2 linked regions of the Callithrix jacchus genome follow. The protein of the gene in region 2 purifies or fractionates together with the protein of the main gene of each other region. This does not show direct contact. Links are inferred from orthologs where the notes say so. Each region holds a gene or a part of one and is shown on either strand. Other genes may lie near its edges.

Region 1 (7,721 bases), on a different chromosome or scaffold from region 2:
AATCCCCACATTACCAGATTACAGTTGAATTCATTGAGATTATGTGTGTAATTTTTTTTTTGAGACGGAGTTTCGCTCTTGTTACCCAGGCTGGAGTGCAATGGCGCGATCTCGGCTCACCTCAACCTCCACCTCCTGGTTCAGGCAATTCTCCTGCCTCAGCCTCCTGAGTAGCCGGGATTACAGGCACGCGCCACCATGCCCAGCTAATTTTATTTTTTGGATTTTTAGTAGAGATGAGGTTTCACCATGTTGACCAGGATGGTCTCGATCTCTTGACCTCTTGATCCACCTGCCTCGGCCTCCCAAAGTGCTGGGATTACAGGCTTGAGCCACCGTGCCCGGCTTATGTGTGTAATTCTAACACACACCAGACACCTGGCAAAGGGCCAATCGACCAGCAAGATTGATGGACTCCACCTCCTTATTCATATTCATATTTCTCAGCTCTATCCTCTCTGCAGCCTAAGTTCAGAGCTCGCAGTCTCAGTTCTCAGGTTTCTCCCCAGCCTCCTCACTGGTCTCCCTGCTTCCAGGCCTGCTCTTCCCATCCATCCCCCTTGGCGCTGCCAAAGACATCTCTTTGAAATGAAAGCATCTGCTTGCATCCCTCTGCTGCCTCATACTCTTCTCTGAATCACCATCTACTTCAGGAGAAAATGCTATCTCCTTAGCCTGACATTCCCAGGCTGCTGGTGACCGGCCTGTGTTTACCTCTTAAGGCTCACTGTCATCCCCATCCAGGCCCTGGGCTGCACACCTTGCTTCCTGCCTCCGAGCCATTGCAGATTGTGCAACCTCGGCCAGGAATGTCATTCCCAATCCCACCCCCTTGGCCTCCTCATCCTTTCGGATGAAGCTCAGTAGTTCTAACACAACCTCCTTTCCAGGAAGGCTTCCTTGGCCATGCTCCCTGCCTGGGCCTGGGTTGGGGACTTCTCCTTTAGCCTCCCACAACGCATGTCATCCTGCTTTCTAACCACCTGCTCTGCTCTAAATCCCTGGAGGACAGTGTAGACTCTCCTCTCTGAATCCCCAGGCCCTGGGCACTCAGAAGGTACTCAACATTTGTTGAATGAATACAAGATTGTTCCCAGAGCACCTTACAGCAACCATCATACTCCTACCCTGTAACTAACCCTGTCCAGATATTTTGTTTTTATTTTTTCACTCTCTCAGGCTGCACCAGGGTGCAGTGATCATGGCTCACTGCAGCCTTGACCTCCAGGGCTCAAGTGATCCTCCCACTTCAGCCTCCTGAGTAGCTAGGACTACAGGTGTGCGCCATCATCATCAGCTGATTTTTGTATGTTTTGCAGAGACAAGATTTCACCATGTTGCCCAGGCTGGTCTTGAATTCCTGAGCTCAAGCAATCTGCCCACCTCAGCCTCCCAAAGTGCTGGGATTACGGGAGTGAGCTACCATTTGCAGCCCTGCCCAGGTATTTAACACCTATTTCCCCTTGGCCCTGGGAGTTCCTAGAAGGCAGTGACAGTTTCTGATTAATTTTCATTATTGGCGGGGCGTGGTGGCTCATGCCTGTAATCCAAGCACTCTGGAGGCCAAGGTGGGTGGATCACCTGAGGTCAAGAGTTCAAGACCAGCCTGACTAACATGGTGAAACCTTGTCTTTAAAAAAAATAAATAACTAAATGAAAATTTTCATTATCACTTTCATATGGGGGTGCAATTCCAGATGGAGGGATGGATTCGATAGTTCCTGATGTTCAGTTTTAGATATCTGCAGATTCCTTTTCTTAGTCATAGATAAAGTAGAATCTCATGGCTTACAAAAAAAAAAACAGGGTACAGCCCATTCCTGATTTTGCCCTTCTCTTCCAAATTACTTGGCAAACTGTCTGAAAAGGGAAAGAAAGTCCTCATAGGACTGCAGGAGAGTCTGAGGGGGAGGTCAGGGCCACCATCAGGTGGGTTTAGCCAGGCCTTGGCTCTAGGCTTCAGGCAGTGCCTCTATCCCTGCCCAGCAAAGTCAGTAAGTATACAAGGGGAGCCCTAAAATGGAAGTATTGATATAGCTTCAACTTACAAATGGGAAACTAAGGTCTGGAAAGGCAAAGGCAATTGCCCAATGTCCCAAAGGTCCACCAGTGGGTTCAAGACAGGGCAGGGGGAGTCATGGAAAATACCCTGGCCTCGGAGACAGGGTCTCCAGCAGGTGCCTGGAAGCCCATGGTGTCCTCATCTTTCTGACAATCCATGTCAGCAGGACAGCAATGACACTTATCCCCCCAAGTCACAGGGAGATACAGAGAGACCCAAGAGAGGCTGAGTCACCCTGATCACAAGGCAGCCCAGGAAGGACACGGGAGGGGAGAATGGCTCAGACTCCCTGCCATGCCCTGCAGGAAGAAAAGCCCGACCTCATGGGTCAAGAGAGTCTTAATTTCGGGGCAGATGGATGCGGCTGGGGAGGGAGTCACACATCTTCCTCCTGCGGACAGAGGCCTAGGTAACAGTGCTGGCCAGCCAGCTGCAATGGGGACTAGCCATCGAGGTGCATTCAGAGACACCATGATCTTCTGCAGTCTCCCTCAAAGGCCTGGGCCTCCAGCACAGAGCAGAGCACCCCTCCCTGGCACATGAGGGGCCTGGCAGTGCCCTAGGGCCATCCACAGAGACATGACCAAGTGGACTCCAGCCTCTGCCCTGCCTCTAACCCATCTTGACCTTAAGCAAATCACATGACAACTCTAACCCTCTGGTTCCTCTGCTAGAAAACAGGAAAAGGAAAATTAACCTCCTGGAAGAGCTGTCAGGAGGATGGTTGGAAAGTAGTTTCTAAACATTAAGAGCTTGAGTTGCTTCGGAGACTTAGTTTCTTCCTCTAGAAAATGGAAATAATCTCTGGAAGCCCTTTCTCATGCTGTTGAGAGAGAGCCTTAGATGGCAGTGGCCCTGAAAGGTGGTGCCCTCTGGGGTGGTCTCTCTAGTTTGTTAGTTCCTTCAGGGGAGGAAGGGGCCTTGCACATCTTTGATCCCCCACAATATGCCTAGTATACAGCAAGAGCTCAATAAATAAATGGAAACAAGGAGAGGGGAGGGAAGGGAGGAGGGAGAAGGTGGACACAAGGATAGGAGGGGAGGAAGACAGAAAACAATGAGAAAGAGGGATGGAAAGGGGGTAAGACGGGGACCCCAGGGAGAGGCTATGTGCAGACTTAGTGGATAGGGAGGGCAACGGGGAAAACTGGGTGACAATGCTGAGCCCCTGAGGAGTGCTGGTCCTATCTGAAGGGCTGCCCCCAGGGGCTGCCCTGCTCTAGCCTCTTCCCCTTTTATCCCAGTTTCCCCTTTCAGAGGCATAGACTGCCTCTTTCTGAGTCTTTCAGGCCAGGTTTCAGGAGAACAGAGGGGCTCTCCCAGCCCTAGGTTCAAAAGAGCTCCTGGCCAGCCACTCCTCAGGAGGTCAGAGAAAAGGGAGCAGAGGGTATGGATGGGATCTGGATGGGATGGGATCTGTTTTCCCAAGGCTGGGGGTGGTGGGGAGTGCTCTACCCTGTGTGATGTGTGTATTTCCACTTCTGGCCATGTGGGGCCTGGAGCATGTGTGTCAGCGGGCCTCGGAGCTGGCAGCTTGTGCCTGTAGGGTGCCAGTCTTTGCAGGCATCAGTCTGATTGTGTCTGTGGGGGTCAGTGTTGGTGTGGCTTTGCGCTCCGCTGTGGTGAGACCTGCCAGCAGCACAAGTGTGTGTGCCAGTGAGAGTGATATGTGTGCCAGCAAGGGTGTTTGCTACAGCGAGTGCAGGTGACAGTGTGCATATCAGTGTATGCCCACACGTGTATACCAGCACTAGGGTGTGTTAGAACTGGTGTGTGTTGGAGTGTGACCTGTGCATGCCAACAAGGCTGTCAGCAAGAAAGTGTTGACTGAGGCGTGTGTGACGGTGTGCCACTGCGTGATGAGCGTGTGCCAGCGGCTGCCAGTGTGTGCACCAGCATGCATGTGCCACGGGTTAGTGGGTCCGTGCGTGTATTGTGTGTCAGTCTGCCTCCGTGCGTCTCTGCGCCTGCTGGCCAGTGCTGGGTGTCAGCGAGCTGCGAGTGTGTCCGGGCCAGGAGCCGCGGCCCACATGGGGCGGCCCAGCCCTTGCCCTTTAGTCTCCACCGCCCACGGCCCTGCCGGAGACCACACAGGAGACCTCGGGTGGAGGAGAACCGGTACGTGATCCCAGGGTGGCCCTGAACGTAGAACCAGGACGCAATCGGAGCCCCCGCCCATGCCCTCGCCGAGGTCGCCCCCACGCGCCCCGCGCCCGGCGGCCACCCTGCACTCACCGTGTCCCTTTGTCGCCCATGGTCCGCGACGGTCGCAGAGAGGTCCGTGGCGTCAGCGCCCAGGCTGGAAAATCCCCGGCCAGCAGGAGGAGCGCGGGCCAGCCCGCTCCCGGCTCCCTGCTCCGCCTCCTCCGTTCTCCCGGCCGCCGCCGCTGCCGCCGTTCCCGCCCCCGGTCCCCGCCCGCCGCCTGCCGCGCGGAGCCGCGCAGAGCCCGGGCCGCTGCCAGGGGCGTGGAACCACGCGGGGTGTGTGCGTGTGTGTCTGTGTGTGCGAGTCTGCGTGTGCGCGCACCGCCCAGCGAGCCAGGGCAGTGCGGCTGGACGCGTCAGGGCCCCAAGGTTCGCGTTTGGGGGTGTCCCCCCGGGTGTGCGTCCGTGTGTGAGCCTGTGTGTGTGTGTGTGTGTGTGCGCGCGCGCGCGTGTGTGTGTGAGCCTGTGTGTGTGTGTGCGTGTGTGTGTGTGTGTGTGGTGGTGGTTTGGTGTACGTGATGGCTCACGGCTGTGTGCGAGCCCTGTTAGGGAGTGTATTGGTGTGGATGGAGGAGTGTGCACGTCTTTGTGCAATTGTGCGTGTGTGCGCACGGCCGTGGGTGCGAGCGCGCTCTCCCGCGCATGCCGGGGCAGCCTTTGTGTGTGCGGGTGATTGGAACCCGAGGGTTTGGCGACCCCGAGGCCGAGCTCCCTGCCTCCCCTAGCTTAGCAGAAGACCCCAGGATGTCTGGCAAGGCCTTTGCCCTGTGCTCCACCCTTCCCTATCCCATCCCACCTCACCCAACCCCACCCCCTTCATCTGGAGAGGTAACACCGAACCACCCTAGGGGACAGGAAGAAGGGGTGGAGGGGGCAGTAGACGGCCTTGACGCTGGGGAATTGAGCAGAGACCAGAGGTTAGCAGGGGCTGCAGGAGGCCACCCGGAAAGAGGAAGCTTCGAGAAGTGAGAAGAGGCGAGAAAGGAAGAAAGCAGAGCTGGCCTGCTGCTCCCGCTGGGTAGCACGGTGGAAAGCGTCCATGCCCAGCGCCGTGGCCTGCTGCGGGTGACCCTGTACACCAAGCTTCTGAGAACCCATGTCCAGACCTGTAAAGTGAGGATACACTAATATCAGCCTGCAGAATTGTTCATAGGTTGAAAGAACTCGCTTGTGTTTGCTGACCTCCCCTGAGTACCTGCATACAGTAGGTGCCCAGCAGATGTTAGCTCACTCCTCTGCAGGCTTCTTGATGTCCTGTGAAATCTTGGCTGGGACCCTGCTTTGTCTGAGGTGCCTTCCTGCTTTGCAGGTAGTGGGAAATTGTAAGGTTTTTCCTACACCCTCACTACTGAGATTTGGCTAATTAGCCCTAATAGGTCCCTGATATCTGAGTATTAAGGGAAAAGGAAGCTATCATTTACTCTGATGCTGTTGTCGGTATGCAAACATCTCCTGTAATTATGTCCAGAAGCAGTTACCTATACTGTTTATATGCAGCATAATTACTATAATTACGTCCAGATTTGGCAGAGGGGCAGGGGGAGGCTGATGGGTAGGCAGGGTGGCCCACCTCTGGGCAGTGTTAAGAGCTAGAGAATATGGATGAACCCTCCTCCCAGTCTTGGCCTCTGGGCTTCACCGTCACCCCGACAGGGAAAGAAGAGGAAGCCACCTGTTGTTTCTGCAGGGGTCAGAGAACTGGAAAGGAGCAGACCAGACTCTTCCTTGATGACAGGAAGTCCCTAACCAGGATAGCGAGGCCAGGTCCCGCCAGGCTTCACATCAGTTTCCCCACTGATAAAATAGGTTTGACCAAACCAGATGATCTCCAATGGATCTCCCCATGCTGATGCCCAAAACATCTAAATTTATTTATTTTTATTTTATTTTATTTTATTTTTGAGACGGAGTCTCGCTCTGCCACCCAGGCTGGAGTGCAATGCCATGATCTCGGCTCACTGCAACCTCCACCTCTGGGGTTCAAATGATTCTCTTGCCTCAGCCTCCCCTACTGGGGAGGCAGACACCCTTCATCATGCCCAGCTAATTTTTGTATTTTTGTTGAGACAGGGTTTTACCATTTTGGCTAGGCTGGTCTTGAACTCCTGACTTCAGGTGATCCGCCCACCTTGGCCGTGCAAAGTGCTGGGATTACAGGCATGAGCCAACGTGCCTGGCCCTAAATTTTAAAACTCAATGCAAATTCTTCATTCCACTAAATATTTGTATTTGTTTTACTGTAAAAATGATGTTTTTAATTACTTCCGAGCAAAAGAAACAGTTCAGAAAGATGCATCAGGTGGTTTCAGGTAACCCCTCCCTTCTCACTGCTTGCGAAGCAGGGCTCTGACATTTAGGGACACTGAACAGACTGGTAGACTGTGGAGTCAACATGCAGGATTCCAAATACTGGACATCCCCACTGGCCTGTAAACTCCATGAGGTGGGGCTGTGCTGCTACTTGATACAAGTCTATGACATAAGTGCTCTTTGCCCTTTTTCTTTCTTTTTATTCCCCCCCTGTTGCGGTCTCACTGTCACTTAGGCTGAAATGAGCTATGATCATGCCACTGTAGGCTCCAACTCCTCACCTTAAGCTATCCTCCAGCCTTGGTCTTCCAAGTAGCTGGAATTACAGATGTGCCCCGCTACACCAAGCTAGTTTTTAAATTAGTTTTCGTAGACATGGGGTCTCACTATGTGGCCCAGGCTGGTATCAAACTCCTGGTCTCAGGCGACCCTCCCACTTCGGCCTCCCAAAGTGCTGGATTACAGGCATAAGCCTGTAATGGCTATGTCTGGCCCTCTTTTCCCTTTTTTATAAATGAGCAAACTGATATTCAGAGAAATTAAGTCACATGCCCAAATCCATAGCCTCCTCTGGGCCTTGCCTCTGACCTCCTATCCTCTGGCTTTCTCCCAAAGGGAAGCTGGTGTAGAAATCAAAGTAGAAACTATGATTTAATTTACTTCAAATTCCAGTGAAGGAGCAAGGATGGCAGAAGAAGAATCAAGATGACAATTTTGCTTTACCTGCTGGGATCTATGAAAAATATACCTATGTATTCCTGGTGTAATCAAAATTAATAAAATGGCTGGACATAGTGGCGCATACCTATAATCCTAGCACGCTGGTAGGCTGAGGCAGGCAGATTAGTTAAATTCAGGATTTCAAGACCAGCCTGGCCAACATGGTGAAACCCCATCTCTCCTAAAAATGCAAAAAAAAAAAAAAAATTTAGCCAGGCTTGGTGGCAGGCACCTGTACTCTTAGCAACTTGGGAGGTTGAGGCAGGAGAATCACTTGAACCAGGAAGTGGAGGTTGCAGTGAGCCGAGATTGTGCCACTGCACTCCAGCCTGGGGGACAGAGCCAGACTCCATCTCAAAATAATAATAATAATGAAATGTAAAAGTGATAATGTTGAGGAGAACTCTTTGTATATCCACAATAT
Region 2 (7,407 bases):
GACCTCCACGCTGCATCCAAACCCAGGTTTCCAAGAACCTTCTCATCATCTGCACGTGGTGACCGTAAGGCATTTCAAGCTCAAGATGTCTAATGAAGAAGATATACTTTCACTTCTCCATCCACATCCTCCTCTCCTCACTCAAACCACCCCACTGTCTCAGTCCTCTTCCAGTTTTTTCTATCTCAGTGAAAGATACTGCCTACTTGTTTGCACAGAAACCTCAAGGTCCATTCTGACACTGCCTCTTCCTTCCCCTCCCATTCCAACACACCTCTGTGACAACTTTAGTTCCTGATTAACTCTGGGAACCTTCCACTGCTCTCCAACTCCACTGCCACCAGCACCACACCATCCCCCAACACTGTCTTCTCCCTGGATGCCTGCCTGCACTCCTAACCCTGACTTGTCTTCCCACAGCTACTCATACCCACCAGACACACTCCACTGTCCACTGGGAAGGCACGTGGGTCACAGTAAAATTCAGATTTCATCCTGTGTCTCTTGGGCTTACACCATCAGTGGCTTCCAACGGCTCTTAGGATAGAGAAAAAAACCCTTGACATGGCCAGTCCTTCACATGGAGTCTGCCCTCTGCTCACCTTCTACACTCCCCAGTCCCCCCCCCACCCCCCCACTCTCCCTCTGGGCTCCGATACAAAGGCCTTTCCTTGTCTCTTCTCTCAGCTGTACCTTCTGCTTCAGGCCCTTTGCACAGGTTCTTCCATCTGCTCAGGTTTCTTATCCCCGGCCCTCTCGTACACATAGTTCTGGTTTTCTCATAACCATCAATTTCTCAGGGAATCCTTCCCTGACTCCCAAGAAAAAAAATAGATTCCTCCTTCCTGTAAAATGCTTTCACAATAATAGCACACACGCACACGCACACAGAGGGCTATTGTTCAGAGCTCTTCTAAGCATTTCTGCTGAGAATTCATTTACTCCTTATGACAACACAATGAGATAGAAATTATAATTATCTCCATCGTACAGATAAAGAAACTGAGTCACAGAGAAGTTATGTAACTTATCCAAGATCACCTAGTTTGTGAGGCAAAGCCAGAATTTGAACCCAGGCAGTGTGACTCCAGTGCAGCTTTTAAACACTATATTATTCCATAAGAAAACACTATTAATTTTCCTTCCTTTGCCTACTCGAGGTTCGGAACACTGTGTTGCATGGCTATTAGTTTAGCGTGTGTCTTCTCCATTAGACTGCAAGCTCTACAGGAGTAGAGATTGTTCAATCGGCAATAGTAGGTGCTTAATAAATATTTGCTCAAGAAAATAGAAAATGTGAATGTGTATAGGCAGGTAACATTTTCCATCCAAGTTCAGGACAAAGATAAGCACATACCTGGACCTTCTAGGGTTAGGGACTCCTGCTCCAGAAAGCAACGTACTGCCATCAGATTCTCAATGGGTCCATGAAATTAAGAACAGCTGACTCTCATATTCTCCAGCCTACCTCACCTTTTCCCCGCCAGCCTTCCCCCAACAACTATAACAGCCTCACATTTAGTATTAATAGTATGCGCTTTGGTCTTAGCAATCTTTTTTTTTTTTTGAGATGGAGTCTTGCTCTGTCACCCAGGCTGGAGTGCAGTGGTGCAATCTTGGCTCACTGCAACCTCCACCTCCCGGGTTCAAGCGATTCTCCAGCCTCAGCTTCCTGAGTAGCTGGGAATCACAGGCGTGCGCTACCACGCCCAGCTAATTTTTTTGTACTTTTAGTAGAGAATGAGTTTCACCTTGTTGGTCAGGCTGGTCTAGAACTCCTCACCTCGTGACCCACCCGCCTCGGCCTCCCAAAGACTGGGATTACAGGAGTGAGCCACCGCTCATGGTTTAGCAATTTTTAAAAACACAAAACAAGGTCAACCTTTGAAAAGCCAGTCAGACTATCTAACATCCTCAGAGCAAAGTCCCAAACTCTGCTGGGAGTGGGGGTGTTGTAGGCCTTGTCTACTTCTTCATCCTCATGGGCTCTCATTTGTTTCCTCTTCCCCACCCCACCTCGATAGCCCAGCAGCACAGACTGGGTTCTGGGTTTGGGTTTCCTAGGCAATAGCAGGGTGTTTTCTCATGCCTAGACTCATGCAGTGCCCTCTGCCAGTCGTTTCCTTTGCACCCAGCAATTTCTGCTCTGTCTTTATGCATCAGCTTAGATATCTCTTTGGGGTTAGGTGCTCTTCTTTGGGGCGCCTATAGGCTGCATCGGTCCCTGACAATGTACACCAGATATTGAACTATAGCTGCTTAGTTACAGACAGTCCTCTCTGTGAGCCTTGAGGTCATCTGCCATGTATTATGCATCGTCTGAATCCCCCTAGCCTAGCCGGGTGCTAGCCCAAGTTACGGTGCTTACTACAGATTTGTTCAATTAGTGAATGAATGAATAAACTGACAACTCGTGTCTGGTTCATGGGTACCAAAAAATGTGTTAAATGAATAAATGAGAGAGTAATGGCAGTTCGAAGTTCAGGTCTAGAGAAAGATCCAGATTAGGGCGTTCAGAGATGAGTGAAACGCAGCCTTCAGAGAATTAACAAGGAAGATAAATCTCTTCAAGGAGCCAGCCGGAAGGATTAAAAGAGTCATCAATTACACGGCCGGCTCCGGGGTCGGGTCCCTCTCTAGCCCCGCCCACTCCGCGCCAATGGGTTTTGTTTCCCTCTAAACCCCGCCCCTTTCGCTTTGAGGGGCGGGGCCGGCCACTCCAGGAAAGGGCACTACGTTTCCCGGCGCGCCGCGCGGCCGGGGTGAAAGAGGAGCCGGAAGTGGAACGCGCGAGGTCTAAGGGCGCGAGGGAAGTGGCGGGCGGGGACTAAGGAGGGGCGTACAGGTAGCCGGCAGGCCGGGGGTCGCGGGCATGGCCGAGGCCAGGAAGCGACGGGAGCTACTTCCCCTTATCTACCACCATCTGCTGCGGGCTGGCTATGTGCGCGCGGCGCGGGCAGTGAAGGAGCAGAGTGGCCAGGTAAGTGTTCGTGGGCCGTGTGCGAAGGCCGCGTGCAGGATGTGGAGATCAATGGCCCGCGGCCCGCCCTCAGGCGACCCGGCGGGCGCCCAGAGCCGGGTCCCGCCGTGCTCAGCGGCAAGGGCCACGGGTACCAGAGGAGCCGCAACCTCTGCCTCGCCACTGCGACTTCACTTCCCCTGGGCCTCACTTTCCTCATCTGTGCAGTGGGCGGGCCGCAACGTGTACTCGCAGGGGCCGAACTTTGTAATTCCCGCGTCCCTTACCTCCTCCCCCTTTTTGGTAGCGGCTGTTTTAAGTTTCCTAAGTCTCCCGCCACGTGGCTAGGCCCAGCACAGCCCCCCTGGGGCGAGGAGGTTGCTGCGAGATGGATGGCGACCAGCCCTTTGGGGCGCGCCTCGAGAAGGTATCCCACAGCCCCTTAGTTGAGCTGGAACTCAGGCCCTTAACGATTGTCTGTACTGAGACGGACAGCTTTGGGACTCGAACTCGTGGTACAGTCATTTCTTACTTGATTGATTCATTCAGCTGTTAGTCCAGTACTCAGGGTACTTCCTGGGAGATGCTGAGCACCGTCTTCCAGCCCTCCTGGAGCTTACACTCTAGTAGGGTAGAAAAATCAAAGAATCACAAAAGTGAGTATATGCTTAGCACTACATTAAGTGTTAAGAATGAGAGGGATGGGCTGTGCACGGTGGCTCACGCCTGTAATCCCAGCACTTAGGGAGGCTGAGGCAGGCGGATCATCTGAGATCAGAAGTTTGAGACCAGCCTGGCCAACATGGTGAAACACTGTCTCTACTAAAAATACAAAAATTAGCTGGGCTTGGTGGCTGAAGCACGAGAATTGCTTGAAGCCAGGAGGCAGAAGTTGCAATGAGCCGAGATCGTGCCACTGCACTCCAGCCTGGGCGATAGAGTGAGACTCTGTCTCAAAAAAAAACAAAAAACAAAAGACATGAGACGGGTGGCAGATTGCCCTAGCCAGGACTGCCTTTCAAAGCAAGTGGCAGTTGATTTGAGATCTGAAGAAAGGGAGGTGAATATTCCAGGCTGAGGTGTAAATGCCCTGTGGAGGGAGGGAACTTGTGTACACACTGGCCTCGAGAAAGTCCACTGTCTTGAGCCTGGGAGTTTGAGGATACCGTGTGAGCAGTATAAGTCATGATTGTGCCACTGCACTCTAGCCTGGGTGACAGCAAGACCCTGTCTCAAAAATAATTTTTTTTCGAGTCCATAGCAGGCCAGGTTCCATGGCTCATGCCTGTAATCCCAACATTTTGGGAGGCTGAGCTAGACTGATCATTTGAGGCCAGGAGTTTGAGAACAACAGCCTGACCAACATGGTGAAACCCATCTCTACTAAAAATACAGAATTTAGCAGGGTGTGGTGGTGCGCACCTGTAGTCCCAGTTACTTGGGAGGGTGAGGCAGGAGAATCACTTGAACCCAGGAGGCAGAGGTTGCAGTGAGGTGAGATTGAGCCACTGCACTCCAGCCTGGGCAACAGAACGAGACTCCATCTCAAAAAGAAAAGAAAAGAAAGTCCATAGTGGTTGAAGTGTGGAGTACAAGGGCCAGATGCCCCTGGAGAGATGGAGGCAGGGGGCTGGCTGGAGTGGTCTGGTGGGCAGTTTAATATTCCTTGGAAGAGCAATGGAGAGTTTTGAGCTGATGAGACGGTATCCTGAGTAGTCAAATCACTTTACCTTGTAGTTTAGGCTCTGTTTCTAATGCTTACTGTTAGAACCTCCTGGAGGGACTAAAGGGTGAGGGATGCTAAGGCGTTATCTATGCTTTTCCCGATTATCTCTGAACCTCATTTGCTGTTTGTACTACAGTTACACCACTTCACAGGTAAGGGTAGTCTTCATTGGAGCAAAGATATTCTGCCCTCATGGAGCACACATTCTAGTAGGAGCAGACAGGTAACAAATAGAAAAAGTTTAATAAGTTAATGATATAGTATATCCAGTGATGGTTGGTGCTTGTATAAAAATAAGGCAGGCAAGGGATATAAGTGTTATCAGAGTTCAATTATAAGTAAGGTAGTCAGGGAAGCCTCATTGAGAAGATGTCATTTGGATAGCAACCTGAAGGAAAGGAGGGGTGAGCACCTGGAGTCAGTCAGAGGATTAGTTAACAGAGGAGCTCTGCCTGACTCCAGGTGCTGCACCCTCTTGGCTACTCTGCCCAGCTTCCAGACACTCTCCACTCCTGCCCCACATTGCTTAGCCTTTTTGGAGTACTTGATATCCTGGCTTCTTGACATTTACAGAGATAGTGGGCTCTCTGGCCTCTGCCCCAAAGGCAGAAGTTCCCCTTGGTTCCTTCTGCTTCCTCCAAGGGACTGGTATCTTTTGGGCCCAGTCTTTTCCCAGCAGACTAGTGGACTGTGATCATGCCACCTGGATGCCTCATCTGGGCTATGGTTCATGCTTTGGAAATATTGGCTGGCCAAGTCTTTGAAAGCCTTTTTAAAGGTCAAGGGTGGGAGAAACCCTGTCTCGTGCCCTCTAGGCACTGATAGTGCCAGAGAGGCTGGGGGTGCCAGACAGGCTGGGGGCTGAATAAATGCTAGCTTGGAACATTACAACTCTGGCCTCTCAAAGGGGCCTCTCACCATGTTGTCCAAAAAAGTTTTAACTGGAATTGTTTGTCCTTCTTTTCTCTGGAAGGTTTTAGATGAAACTGGCAGGGCCAAGCAGATATACCCAGAGCAAAAAGACCCTCTTTTTTTTTTAAGGGTCTTGCTCTGTCGCCCAGGCTTGAGTGCAGTGGTGCAAGCATGGCTCACTGCAGCCTCGATATCCTGGGCTCAAGTGATCCTCCCACCTCAGCCTTCTGAGTAGCTGGGACCACCAGTGCATGCCACCATTCCCAGCTAATTTTTTTTTAACATGAGACAGTCTCGTTATGTTGCCCAGACTGGTCTTGAACTCCTGGGCTCAAGCGATCTTCCTGCCTCAGCCTCCCAAAGTGCTAGGATTACAGGTGTAAGCCACCATGCCCAGCCGAAAAGACTCTCTTCTAAACCACCTATCTGTGCAAGTCATGAGTTTGGGGAGAGCTGGGCCCAAGGAGGACCCTTACTGTGCTGGGGGTTAATTGTGGCTTTCTCTTTACCTCTCTGCAGAAGTGTTTCCTGGCTCAGCCCGTAACCCTTCTGGACATCTATACACACTGGCAACAGTAAGTGGTGGGGCTGACAGGGTGGAGTAGGGACACCCCAAGCAAATCAGTGTGGAATAAGCTGGGATACCTGTCTGATCTAAGATCTGTCCCTATAGCTCACTGTGGACACCATTGTTGCCTCCAGAAAGCCGGTCACAGCACATGAATGGGGATATCTGGTAGTGGGAGGGGACATTGAGAGCTGTGATCTCTTAAGAACAAGAGCTTCTAACCAGCTTGTTTATTCAGTTGATCAGCATTTATTGATTACCTCCTAAAAGCCAAGTCCTGTTCTTACTTAGTATGCATGTATTGTCACAAGTGAGACAGACATGGTTCCTTCTTTCCTGCAGCTGACATTGTAGTCAAGGAGGCATGAGTCAAAGAATGAAACAAATGAATGTAAAATTACGGTAGTAGTAAGGATTACAAGAGAGAAGAACCTGTTGCCACAGCCACATAAATGGGTAAGCTTCCAGACACTTCATTTGGAGGTCCAGGGGAAGCTTCCCTGAGATGATCTTTGACTTGAGAGCTGCAGGAATTGGGAGAGTGAGCTATGCAGTAGGTATAGAGCAGCAATAGGTACTATGCAGTAGGTACCTGCCAGCGGAAATTGCTAATGCTCAGTCCTGTGGCTGGTGGACAGTACAGGTGAGGCTAGATTATCGCGTGGATAGCCATGCGAGGCCTGGTTATCCATGGTGAGGAATTTTGTCTTTACCCAAGAGCAGCTGGGGCCATGGCAGGGTGAGAAAGTGAGCTGACTGCTCTGCACCATGTTGAGACTAGTCGGTGGACACCGTCATCCAGGCAAGAGCTGATGGGGCTTGAGACGGGGGTAACAGGGTAGACAGTGGATTCTAGGAGTCACAGGGATGAAACCAGGGCCCATGGATGGATGGGAGAGGAAGTATCTGATTGACTCCATGTCTGGCTTATGTATCCATGCATAGAGCTTGAAGGGAAACCAGTTTGCAGGGAAAGATTTCAATGACATGTTGAGTGTGAGATGCCTTTTAAACATGTAAAACTTAAGTACTCTTCAAGGAAGGGGGACTCATCCAAGGATACATCAACAGAGGAATGGCTTGAAAATGGAGAGAGTAATTGTGTTCTCATCAGGCACTGGCCTGACCACAGCTGAATAAGGGAGTGAAGGACGTGAAGATATATCCCCTGAGGAATGGTGCAGAGTATAGAATTGCCTTAGATGACAAGGAGGCAGGTGAGGGATGTGAGGCACCACTGCA

Evidence for each region.
Region 1: the proteins of TCOF1 (region 2) and ARRB1 purify together in Homo sapiens (affinity purification with western blotting; 5 studies listed by BioGRID and IntAct, with this or other methods). This does not show direct contact. The link is inferred for Callithrix jacchus from reciprocal best matches to the Homo sapiens genes TCOF1 and ARRB1.

The regions. Positions count from the first base shown.
Region 1 is NC_133511.1:65,595,636-65,603,356, reverse strand, and holds the start of ARRB1 (beta-arrestin-1), read right to left. Parts: upstream 4,431-7,721; 5' UTR 4,318-4,430; coding exon 4,298-4,317; intron 1-4,297. UniProt on the Homo sapiens protein: Functions in regulating agonist-mediated G-protein coupled receptor (GPCR) signaling by mediating both receptor desensitization and resensitization processes.
Region 2 is NC_133503.1:49,071,180-49,078,586, forward strand, and holds the start of TCOF1 (treacle protein), read left to right. Parts: upstream 1-2,791; 5' UTR 2,792-2,872; coding exon 2,873-2,980; intron 2,981-6,116; coding exon 6,117-6,172; intron 6,173-7,407.